Xenopus tropicalis: one gene and its partners. The protein of the gene in region 1 interacts with the protein of each later gene in a pairwise test. Links are inferred from orthologs where the notes say so. Each region holds a gene or a part of one and is shown on either strand. Other genes may lie near its edges.

Evidence for each region. The genes of interacting proteins can lie anywhere in the genome.
Region 2: the proteins of tk1 (region 1) and rbm48 interact in a two-hybrid assay, tested with the Homo sapiens proteins (2 studies listed by BioGRID and IntAct). The link is inferred for Xenopus tropicalis from reciprocal best matches to the Homo sapiens genes TK1 and RBM48.
Region 3: the proteins of tk1 (region 1) and gapdh interact in a two-hybrid assay, tested with the Homo sapiens proteins (2 studies listed by BioGRID and IntAct). The link is inferred for Xenopus tropicalis from reciprocal best matches to the Homo sapiens genes TK1 and GAPDH.

What each region holds. Positions count from the first base shown.
Region 1 is NC_030686.2:26,185,902-26,190,027, reverse strand, and holds the start of tk1 (thymidine kinase, cytosolic), read right to left. Parts: upstream 2,896-4,126; 5' UTR 2,878-2,895; coding exon 2,812-2,877; intron 723-2,811; coding exon 691-722; intron 303-690; coding exon 189-302; intron 1-188. UniProt on the Homo sapiens protein: Cell-cycle-regulated enzyme of importance in nucleotide metabolism. Catalyzes the first enzymatic step in the salvage pathway converting thymidine into thymidine monophosphate.
Region 2 is NC_030682.2:31,762,930-31,767,009, reverse strand, and holds the start of rbm48 (RNA-binding protein 48), read left to right. Parts: upstream 1-1,265; 5' UTR 1,266-1,380; coding exon 1,381-1,491; intron 1,492-4,080. Other genes in the region: pex1 (peroxisome biogenesis factor 1), read right to left, coding at 928-1,038. UniProt on the Homo sapiens protein: As a component of the minor spliceosome, involved in the splicing of U12-type introns in pre-mRNAs.
Region 3 is NC_030683.2:10,006,048-10,010,329, forward strand, and holds the start of gapdh (glyceraldehyde-3-phosphate dehydrogenase), read left to right. Parts: upstream 1-1,467; 5' UTR 1,468-1,515; intron 1,516-2,653; coding exon of another isoform or gene 2,654-2,750; coding exon 2,751-2,753; intron 2,754-2,832; coding exon 2,833-2,939; intron 2,940-3,040; coding exon 3,041-3,131; intron 3,132-3,222; coding exon 3,223-3,338; intron 3,339-3,974; coding exon 3,975-4,056; intron 4,057-4,282. UniProt on the Homo sapiens protein: Has both glyceraldehyde-3-phosphate dehydrogenase and nitrosylase activities, thereby playing a role in glycolysis and nuclear functions, respectively.

The sequences.
Region 1 (4,126 bases):
ACACCATGAAGGTCCTGGCAATTATAGCCCATAACAATTGTTACCATGTTACCCAGTGCAGTCCTATATGATTTTTGGGCATGCTTTTTAAAATCAGTAAATACAAATGTACCACAACCAATGATATGCGATATTTCTATATGTAGATAAGATGAGCTTAACAATACAGAATGTGTAAAATTGCTTACTGGTCATGTGTAGCAAGATGCTCTTTGCTGTAGCGTGTATCTTTCGCATACTTTATAAGCATGCACTTGTACTGTGCAATCTGAAACCGTCGCACTCTGCGCATCAGCTCTGTGCTGTAAAATATACAGAAAATTTGTTCAGCAGAATAGGAAAATAAGCAGTCTCATGCGATGACATACAGCAGTTAAAGGACAATAAACATACTTTTTTAAAAAGGCTTACTATAATACATACTGCAGCACTCTAAAAATGGATGCAATGTGAGCAAATACCAAACAGCACCACCATCCATTCAAAAAAAAAAAAAAAAAAAAAAAAAAAAAAGAAGAATTGTCCCAACGCAGACCAAGACTGATTCCCCTACTGCCCTCCTTCCAAAGCACTTTAGCCCATTGGAAGTAGCGTGCCCCATTGCCATAGCAACACACTGTTCTCAATAAGGAACATCTAGATTACAGCTCATGAGAGAGAATATAGAATTGCGCGGTCCTTTGAACTCACCTTTTTCCAGAAAACATTGGCCCAAATATCACCTAAAAGTAAAAACAAATGGGTTTGAAATACAAATTAACACACAAACCAACTATAGCAGTCATGGTATATACACTTTCATTTGATGGACATGTATACTTTTTAACATCTTTTATCATTAACCATGTAGCTAATTTGAGCATTTTGTGTTCTTTGGGGCATTTTGTCTTTTAGTTTACATATTGAAACTGCCCATTGCTTTGTTAGGACAACCTTAACATTCTCAGAGTCTTTGTGCAACTCCACTTCTGTAACATGATAAAAATAATTTCTATACAATACAGAAGTATATATCAGAAGCATTTTATATTTCACTGATCTGGAAGGCCCCATGTCTCCCGAATGAGCCAATACCAGAATTCTGACTTGTACAGGTCATAAATTCCAAACATAAGCAGGTTTTCAAAGCAGTGCAGCAGAAATCAGCATACAATTGCATGGCCAAATAATTTCCAGTGGTAGCAATGCTTTGCTAAAGTGGATTTCTAATAAATTTTAGTAAAAACTAACTCAAACCTCTCTGTATTTTATCTTCAAAATGTGATAAAGGTACCATTGTATGGCACTATAAATAGGACGGGTCTTCTGGCCCTGTATCCATACAAAGGTTCGCCAAAGACCGTGAAATGTAAAGGCCCCAAAATGAAAATAATAAATAAAATAGTCATGGCAGTCTCTTCAACTACTTCAAAATTAGCACACAGACCAGATTTTTACAATACTGCTTGTTTCCTAGGGGCTGGAGAACAAAGGAGCAGCATAAACGCCGCTCTCCTCCCCACCTGTGAGTGCGGCAGAATGTAGAATCTATGTTGTGGAATGTAGAACCTTTTATCTACAGAATGTGTATTCAGTCAAACCTTTGTTCAAAACACAATTCTGCATTCCATCCTTTGCCAGCATTAGTATTCTATTTATAGATAAACTCTGTAAGAATGCATATGATATATACCCAATCCCAACTACTACAACAGTGATCCCCAACCAGTGACTCCTGAGCAACATGTCACTCCCCACCCCCTTGGATGTTGCTCCCAGTGGTCTCAAAGCAGGTGCTCATTTTTGAATGTCTGGCTTGGAGGCAAGTTTTGGAATCACAGAGACACAGTTTTACTTCAAGCAGAGCCTCCTGCAGGCTAGCAGCCCACATGGGGCTATCGAATAGCCAATCACAGCCCTTATTTGGCAACCCCAAAAACCTTTTTCATGCCTGTGTGGCCCACCAACACTTTTTACAGCAGAGTGTGGCTCACAAGCAAAAAAAGGTTGGGGATCCCTGTACTAAGACACTGGGAATAGTCTTTGCCAACACTTTATGGGGCTCACATACAAAAGAAAGTGAATTCATTGTGTGCCATAAACCCCCCTAGAAAATAACCCTGAATATCAGGCTCAGACTGCCAATCTGCAGATTTTGGTACATGCCACAAACAGTCACTATTTCTGGAGCCTGTCCCTGGCTGTTTAGGCCTCTGTGTGCTTGAAATAGCAGGTTCTGTTTTGAATCCCAGCCCCTATGATGCCATATGTGCCACTACCCTAAAAACCAGAATTCTTAGCAGTCTTTCCACTTACTGCTAGAATTATTTGGCACACACCATAAGCTTCAAGGGCAGGGATATATTTTGTTTTGTTCTTTCCAGGCACCAGAGTGCAACCCCTAAGGCTGCCACATTTGGTACATGCCCTTGGGTACTTATATAAAAATGATAACCCCACTAATAAGGAACAAAGTCCCTGCCCTGTACAGTTGCACTTAAATATATACTTAACCCAAATGTAAGTCTATATACAAGATGTATGTCTGGGAGCTGCATGATGCAGTGTGTTGTGCCTCACAGCCCTTGGTGTATAATACTGAGGGCAAATATAATCTATACATGCACCTGAGCCCACTATTAATACACGTTCCCTTTAGGGGGCCTCTCATAAAGATGTGTTAGGCTAGATACAACACAAAAACTCCCTTGCAGCTGTCATATAACAAGAGTGCTCAGCCAGTTTCTCCTAGAACTACAAATCACTTCACTTCATGACAAGTCATCTGGAGAGTAAACTGCATGGCTAAATGTAATGCTGTGCCCGGCTTACCTGGATCTGGCCCCGGGATTTGCTGGGCGAGCCTGGCATGATTTCGGGTACGTTGAGGCAATTCATATCGGTACCAGGCGAGAGCAGAGCGCGGGAATGACTGTGTCCGGTACAGTCACTTCTTTCAATACAACGTCTGTGCATTCTCCCGCGCAGCTCTGTCCAATCACAGGCGGCGATGGTGTACGCTAGCCAATGGGATTCTACAGCCCCCGCTGTTATGAAGATGAGGAAGGAGGGGATTCAGCTTTCACTGGTTGGCCTGGTGTTTGGCAAACGAGTTGGAGGTGGCGGGAAAAGAAAATTAAATAAACATGAATTTGTAACTAGTGGGACCCTGTAATGTAAATGTTCTTTTCCAGTTAGCGAGGGAGTATGCAAGGGTCAGTTGCATATAATATGAAGGAAAGCTTGCGGAACGCTTCAATGAAATCTACCGCTGATACCGCAGCGAAATCCTGTTGTGGGTTGTGGCACTTGTTAGAACGATGGCTGACGCGTTTTGGCACTAGTATTACGCTTAGCCTGTATGTTTAAAGAAGTGCTTCACAATTTTAATAAAATCACCCCCCCCAACTCTGTCCCTTTTGCCAAAGTAAGAATTTTTGCAATAGAAGAAAATACATTTTTAAAAAAAAAAAAAATTGTGCCAATAGCAGATATTTATTTTCAGAGAGAGCTTTCCCAGCTAATAGGGGCTCCATGCCCCGCTAATAGGGGCTCCATGCCCCGCTAATAGGGGCTCCATGCCCAGCTAATAGGGGCTCCATGCCCCGCTAATAGGGGCTCCATGCCTAGCTAATAGGGGCTCCATGCCTAGCTAATAGGGGCTCCATGCCCCGCTAATAGGGGCTCCATGCCCAGCTAATAGGGGCTCCATGCCCCGCTAATAGGGGCTCCATGCCCCGCTAATAGGGGCTCCATGCCCAGCTAATAGGGGCTCCATGCCCAGCTAATAGGGGCTCCATGCCCAGCTAATACGAGCTCCATGCCCAGCTAATAGGGGCTCCATGCCCAGCTAATAGGGGCTCCATGCCCAGCTAATAGGGGCTCCATGCCCCGCTAATAGGGGCTCCATGCCCCGCTAATAGGGGCTCCATGCCCAGCTAATAGGGGCTCCATGCCCCGCTGAAGGTCTCTGACTTTCTCCTTTGTCATATTACCTGCTATTACTGCTACTGCCCAGTTTCTCACTACTTTGTTTGTATAGTATTAATCAGATTGTCAGGAAGTATAATATCATACCTCCCAACATTTGAAAAATGAAAAGAGGGACAAAAAGATTTGGCACGCGCAGCACGGCAATTTTTGACCA
Region 2 (4,080 bases), on another chromosome or scaffold:
CCCCCCACTGCTACTATAGGCACCATCTCTCCCTACTATACCTGCTATCCCACAGCCACAGTCCCTTCCCAGAGGCTATTATCCCACTGCTACTATAGGCACCATCTCTCCCTACTATACCTGCTATCCCACAGCCACAGTCCCTTCCCAGAGGCTATTATCCCACTGCTACTATAGGCACCATCTCTCCCTACTATACCTGCTATCCCATAGCCACAGTCCCTTCCCAGAGGCTATTATCCCCCCACTGCTACTATAGGCACCATCTCTCCCTACTATACCTGCTATCCCACAGCCCCAGTCCCTTCCCAGAGGCTATTATCCCCCACTGCTACTATAGGCACCATCTCTCCCTACTATACCTGCTATCCCACAGCCACAGTCCCTTCCCAGAGGCTATTATCCCACTGCTACTATAGGCACCATCTCTCCCTACTATACCTGCTATCCCACAGCCACAGTCCCTTCCCAGAGGCTATTATCCCACTGCTACTATAGGCACCATCTCTCCCTACTATACCTGCTATCCCATAGCCACAGTCCCTTCCCAGAGGCTATTATCCCCCCACTGCTACTATAGGCACCATCTCTCCCTACTATACCTGCTATCCCACAGCCCCAGTCCCTTCCCAGAGGCTATTATCCCCCCACTGCTACTATAGGCACCATCTCTCCCTACTATACCTGCTATCCCACAGCCCCAGTCCCTTCCCAGAGGCTATTATCCCAGTTGATATTATTAATCCTTTTCTGACACCTACACAAATACACCTCATGTCATGTTACTAAACTCCCTCCTGCTTTCCATGTAGAATCACCTGAGAATCCCAAAGCCCTGGTTAGTGCCCGGACAGGGCCATTACAGGCATCATATTAAAATAAACAAGTGCTGCCCATCACGGACAGACGGGCCCCGGTTAGAGTTACCTGCTCCAGGCGTAATTGTGCGAGCACCTCAGGTGTCACACGCAAAAATGTGTCCTTAGCACTTGTGAGTTTCAGGGACACAGCAGCCCCGGGCGGTCCCGGACCTAGCATCCTACTGTGGCGTACCCACAGCAACCCCCTTCACTCCAGCGCTGTGTATGACGAACGTGCAAGTAACAGAACTTCCATCGCTAACGTTATCAGCTCCTTCATGCCTACTGGGTAACTTCCGCGCTGTTTCACCTTTGACAATCGAGGAAATCCCACTCACCCTGTGTCTGCTGACGTATAGTACCTCCCGCCCAATCAGAGAATGGCGTGCTCTAATGACGCCTGTGTGCGGGGCAGTCCTTCCGCCTATTGGTTCTGCTGCCTTTCCGCCTATTGGTTCTGTGTCCCGGCCTGTGTTTGGTACAGGGAGAGAGGGAACTATTTCTTAGACAGCAGAAGCCGATGGCAGAAAGCGCAGCAGTGCAAGTGCAGGCCTACGCACACCATGAGCAGCGAAAGATATGCGCCTCACGGGCCAAGTACCGCGAAGGACGGAGGCCCAGAGCAGTCAAAGTGCGTGAAACATTTACAGTTTTTGTTTTGGTTTTTATACGTCCACACAACTAGTATTCCAGCGTATTCTTGCGGTGGGACTGAGCGCCAGTGCCGCTCTAGCAGGTTTCCCTTCGTAGAAATTGCTCCCTAGAGTTATCACTGAGTTACAGCTTCCATAAGAATGTTAGCTCTTCTATATTCATGTGGTTTTAATTGGGCACTGTGTGGGAACTGGTAATGATTTCTGTTTCTACATAGGAGCATATTGTTCCACTGAAGGAAAAAATGCTGCCTTTTTATCTGCACCCACTGATAGGGGAATAGTGTGGGAGAGGGATTAGAGTTCTAGTTCACCATTTGGAGGCAGTAGGTTTCATTATAAACTATGGGCTATTTCCCATGATTGTAATTATAGATGTCACAGACCCAGTGGCTGCAACTGATAAGGCTAAATATATGTTTATGAATAAAAAGATAATTTTGTGGTTGGGCCCAGTGGTCTCTAGTTACACCAGCAGTCATGTATACTGCAAGCCAGTGGGGTACCACAACAATTTCAATTTAGGGCCCAAAAAATATTTGTATGTTAACCTATTCTACCAAGATACATTGACATTTCTCATCAATTAGGGTCTTATTGGGCCACTTCCATTCCTGGGCCACTTCCATTCCTGGGCCACTTCCATTCCTGGGCCCCCTTCCAACTGCAGGGTCTGCCCTAGCACACACTCCAGTTTCCCTTTCCTTGCCCTGTAACATTACATCATTTCACTCTGCACACATTCTCATACAACCAGCACACTTAACATGTCTGCATATAAAAAAAACACACACAAACTGATACTATTTTCTTTTAATTTCATAAAGAAGAGTATAATGCACTCAGTTACTGGGTTCACGTTAAACTGAGGGGTATATTTAAAAAAAAAAAAAAAGTTTAAATTTGACGCTTACCAAGATTGACTTGTAAGGGTCTGTTTTAAGCTTTCCATATCATGTGACAAATGTAAGATGCTGATGTGCATTTAAATTTTAAATGTTTGAGAAATAAAAAAAATTATATTTTGACCAAAAACTGAAAATGTGCCTCATCTCAGTTTTGTGCCTGTAGCCCTCGGCTATTGCACCCAGTCAGATTTATTCATATAATGCCAGAGATTCTCAGCTGGATTGAGGTCAGGCCTGTGACAGAGCCATTTGATCACTGGGATCACTGTTCTACTGAAAGATTAATGTTTATTTTTTAGCAGCCTGGAACAGGCTTTTTTTTGGTGATATTTCACTGTATTTTGCCCCATGCCTTGAAAACAATATTCCCAGTTGCTGCGTTAATTATATAACACACAAATCTGTGGTACTAATGAAGAATCAGGCTTTTGCGCAGAGAAATCTTTAGTTTAGGACTTTAAAAACTGTTGATTCCTTGCTGAATACTTGGACAGATAACCATTTGCTTTATACAGTATGGCAAACATGGCATATACAAACAGTTGTATCACTCTGGCTTGATTAAGCCATTTTACAGATGATGCAAATAGAAAAACTTTAACGTATGTTCAAGCCAAAGAAAAGTATCCAGTGCTTTCTAGCAAGTTACTGGCTTTCCTTCAAAAGCGATACCAGTAAAATTATATAGCCATCCTCCCGCCAAGAGAGCTATATCACTGGGCTTTAAACTATTATATAAGCAGAAATGAGTTGCTGGAAAGCTGCACACCATAAGAGCAAGTTAATACCTGGGTGCCAGTGCTGAAAGCGTAGATACACAGGGTTGGAATGACAGCACACGCAGGATGTTTTTCAAGAAGAATCACAGAGGTTTAGATAAATAAATGTGAGGCTTTATTCAGTCCGACGTTTCAGTTCCTATCTGGAACTTTCATCAGGGACAGTAACATCACAGTGCAGTACAAACCTTTTTAAGCACAAAAGGGCCCTAAACCTCTGTGATTCTTCTTGAAAAACATCCTGCGTGTGCTGTCATTCCAACCCTGTCTATTATATAAGCAGATAGTCTATACTTCTTCCACCAAGGGACACAACAAATGGCTTCTGAAATTTTCTCAATTACAAATGTCTCAAGGCCTTACAGTATGCAAATAAATGTCTTCCAATGGGATCATATAAAGAAATGCATCTAAAATTCTTTTTATTGAGCCTACTACTCGCCAAAAGTCAGTCCCAAATAGGACTCTCTGGAGGCAGATTTATTTAATTGTTTCTGGACATGTCCTCATAGTAAAAAGTTTTGGGTATCAATAACTTGTTATGCCATTGATAACTTGCTAGACTATGTTCCTATGTTACCAAAATGGATTATGTTCCTATGTTACCAAAATTGACAATGTTTGGTATCCCTACCAAATACTAGACTTATTGGGGGAGTAGAAAAGTACTGTTTATCATATCTGCAGCTGCTCGTAAATATATGCTACAAGTGTGGATAGAGAAACAACCCCGTCACTGTCTTTTTTTAAAAGTAAATTTTATATATTCACCTATTATTTCACCTGTTTCACATGGATTGGCTAGAAGTCTCCCTCCAAAAAGAAAAACACACGAGATGAAGAAAGAAACAAATGGCAATCAGTTTTAAAATGTTTTAAG
Region 3 (4,282 bases), on another chromosome or scaffold:
ACTGGCAATCCGTTCGTCACTCTGCAACAGGGCACAGAAACGAGAGGTGAGTGCGGGAGGAGTGGAGCCTAGGTTGGGGGTGTGGCTCGGCAGGGTAGGCTTGGGTATAGCTCCTACTATATGCTCTCCTAGGGGGTTTCGTTTGCAGTTGCTAAAGGTACTAATGTCGGTGTCAACTGACAGTGATGGGAGTTGTAGTTCTGTGCTACTGGTACTTTTCCAATGTAGTGTGTTTGTGAGTAATGGGGTTACTGTATTAGTGGCTAAGGATGGGATGGTGTAAGGGCTGCCTGTGCTTAGATTGGGGAGGCTTTAGGGTGGGATGAGTAATGGGGTTCTGGTAGATATAGGGAAGTGGGAACCTTGGGTAATCAGGAGTCTGTGTATTAATGATTTGGGTTGGACACTGGGTGAAATGGGGCACTTCCTGCCCTCTAGTGGGTGGGTATGGGCTATATGGGTGCCTTTGGGTGGGATTTAGCTGCAGGGGGACCAATTCAAGGTGCAGTGGTGTGGGGGTTAATATTAAAGGTAGGTTGTTGGGGGCACAGAGGGGTGGGTGGATGTGCCCAATAGATGGGATGGAGAGTGACTTGGGCACGGGGTACCCTCCTCTTGTTCCCCCCCCCCCCACTAATTTCCTTTCTTGCCTTTAGGGGTTGATAACTAAACCAAGTGACACCAAAATGACTGTCAAGATTGGAATCAATGGGTAAGTTAAGGGGTTAATAACTTCATTGGGGGTGGGTGCTGGGGCTTAAGGGGGTAATATGCAGGTGAGTGGGGGGAGATGCTGGGGTATAAGGGGGTAATGGACCCAGACAAACAGCTGGGGGGGGGTTAATGGCTTGGCAGATTAAAGGCCGATGGGATAGTGTTCTCTGCACGGTTTAGCGATTGGCCAGTGTAAGATGCCCCTTGGCTCTGGCAGTTGAGGGGTTATAAGTAATGAAGCTACAGACCTTTCATAAATGGTTAATGGTCCAGGCCGATTATTCTTTCAAAATGGCTGCTGCTCCTTAACCCCTCCCCTGCCAGAACCATGCGGAGTGTGAAGCTTCCTCACGTCCCACTGAGTCACTGCTCCCCACCTCACACCCCAACCCCTCCTCTCCATCCGCTGCGGCTCCCCATTGCTCCACCTTCTGCCAGGAGGGGGGTACAGTAATGCGCATGGGGGTGTCCCCAGTGTCTGGCTGCTGATGTCTCTCAAGGACAACCCCAAGGTCACAGTGTATCCTGGGCCAGGGTCACCCTTGCACTGTCAGTGTCCTATTGATGAGCTGTACCTGGGGGGCTGATGCACGGCACCTTGGGTGAATCCCCTCCCCTCGCTGCTGCAGAATAAGGAGTAATTGCACAAGTGTGGGGAAGCTGAGTCACGTCCTGCTCCCTGGTGGCAGCCGCACGTAGGCACAGTCCCCTGGCTGTTTTATTCTGGTTAGTGACCATAATCCTCACAGCACAGAGTCTGACTGGGCTCTCGTGAACCTTCTAGAGACTTCTCTCATTAAAGTGGGACACTAAGATGCCCCCCCCTGGCATGGCTAAGTAGGGCTCCTATTAATAGAGGTGTTGATGCCAGCTGCTGTAACCCACGCCAGGGACATTATCATTCTGCCCTGCACGTCTCTGCCAGGACTCGGATCCAGTACTGCCCCACAATGGAGGCTGCTCCCGTCACTCTGGCCACTCATCTCTCAGCCTTACTACACACCCTCCTGTTTGTCCTCATTACGCGTCGCTGAACTTCACTGTTGAACTTCACCCCGAGCAAAGTTCAGCCCTGAATGTGCAGCCAGTCACTCGTATTGTGCCTCGAAGCATGCAGGGCAGTGTCAGGAGTCGCAACAGGCAGGCTGTGTGATTATTGCCTGTAATAACAGGGCAGTGGCAGGCAGACTGATTATTGCTTGTAATAACAGCCATTATTCAGGTTGTGCTGCGTGAGCAGTGCTTGGATAAACTGCCCCCCCCCCCCCAGGCTGGCTCAACTGAGTCTGGGTCAGTGGAGATTTCTGTGTCAGCAGGTGTTGTGCTAATGGCGGCACAGACCTTTTTTTTAAAGGGCAAGTAAACCAAAGTACATTAAGTTTGCATATTTCTTAGTGACAGATTGCCTAAATCATGTGCCCCCCCCTTGTGCCATTTAGAATAGTGGGATCCATTTGATCTAGGTCTCTGTATTCTCTATGTAACTGGCCCCTGTTTATTGCTATTCACTATAATGACAGCTATGTAGGGTGCCCTTCCCACCCTAACTGCTTAAAAAGAGGGGGTAGCAGTGCACCCCATTACTTCTATGCTGATCAACCAATTGCACCAGGCAACACTGCCCAGCAAGAGTCGGCAATTGCCAGTGCACTGTGGACAAACATTGGTTGGCTTGGGGGTTCCCCAAGCCAACCAATGAGGGGAACCAGCATGCCTTGATTCTATGGAGGGTTATGGGAATTGTAGTTTAACATATAGGGATCAAAGGACTAAGCTGTTGCATTGTGGTTTCAGTGCATTGGCTAAACTTCCCCTTTAACATCTAGCTGTGACGTCGCATCACTTATGATGCAAGGCTTTATCTTCTTACTGCTTGCCAGTGGCACAAGGGGTTAAGCGCATAAACATCTAACGATAGAAATCATTTTTTCTTTTTAAGATTTGGCCGCATCGGGCGCCTGGTGACCCGCGCTGCTGTTTTAAGCGGCAAATGTGAAGTCGTTGCAATCAATGACCCCTTCATTGACTTGGACTACATGGTAGGTGGCTCCGTTCATCTGCATTTTTGTGTTCTGGAGTATAAAATGCTCGGGAATTAACCCCTCCCACTCTCCGCAGGCTTACATGTTCAAATATGACTCCACCCACGGCCGATTCAAGGGAACAGTGTGTGTTGAGAATGGCAAGCTGGTTATCAATGGCAAGGCAGTCACCGTCTTCCAAGAGTAAGTGAGGTTGTGGCTCAGTCCTGGCCTGGTTCTAGACTGGGTTCCTGCAGCAGAATCTAATCACAGGGGGGATGTTTACAGTTCTCTCCTCTCCCCAGGCGTGACCCCTCCAACATTAAGTGGGGCGATGCTGGTGCAGTGTATGTGGTGGAATCTACTGGAGTCTTCACAACCAAAGAGAAGGCCGGTGTAAGTAGTTACACCCCCCCCCCCCATAACATTTGGCTTTCTATATCTAGAATTCACCCTGGACTTTTTTTTTTTTAATTTTTACCTGCAGTTGCACTTGAAGGGAGGTGCCAAGCGTGTCATTATCTCTGCCCCCTCAGCTGATGCCCCCATGTTTGTTGTTGGGGTGAACCATGACAAATATGATAACTCTCTTCACGTTGTCAGGTAAGTGTGGGGTAAAAATGGGCGTTCCTTTAAAGGGGGAGCGAACTACCACAATGCTACAGGCTGTCTGCAAGCTTCTGTATTACTGGGTTAACTCTTTAGTTCTCAATAGCTCATGGTTTGCAGCTTCTGTAATCTAATAAGGGCTTGTTTACTATAACAACCATGTAAAACTCTAAGCCTGAAGGCTGTAAATCCTTAAACCTTTTTTTATCAGGATATTTGTCTATACAAATACTGATCAGGCAGGGGCTCCCTCTACTGCCCATAATAAAATTGCAGCCTGTTCTAGGTTTGCTGCTTGGCCAAACCATTCTGTACTTGATGGAACCTCTCAGTAATTGGCTAGTGCTTAGGCCTCTGTAGGCAGGCATTGATGTAGGCTGCCCATTCTCTGCCACTTTCTTTAGCTCAGGAATGTTAATGCTGTAAGTCTCACAGGCAATTACTGTTCTACATAAGCTGGCTAGCTTCAACTGGCAAAGTGGCTCTGCCTTCCCAGCCCTGGGCCTGCCTTTACAGGGCCTTGCCCCAAATACAAGCAGTAATGTGTCCTCCCTATATGGGCTGGCCTCTTTACTCTGATGGAATAAGGGAGTGATGCTTAGTTTACCTTTTCCCCTGCTTTGCCCGCAGCAACGCATCCTGCACAACCAACTGCCTGGCTCCTCTTGCAAAGGTCATCAATGACAACTTTGGCATCCTGGAGGGACTGATGGTAAGTGCAGTGGGGCTTATTCAGCTTGGGACATAGAGCCTAAAGCAAACTGTCTCCCCCCTCACCCTGTATGAGTGACCTTAATGGAAATTATACCCCCCCCAAACAATGTAGGTCTCTCTAAAAATAGTGTGAACAAGCTTGTACATAAAAACCCTGCTTTGTGCAAGTTTTCATAACTTAACTTACTTTTTTGTAGTATGTGCTACTGGGTAATCCTAAACTA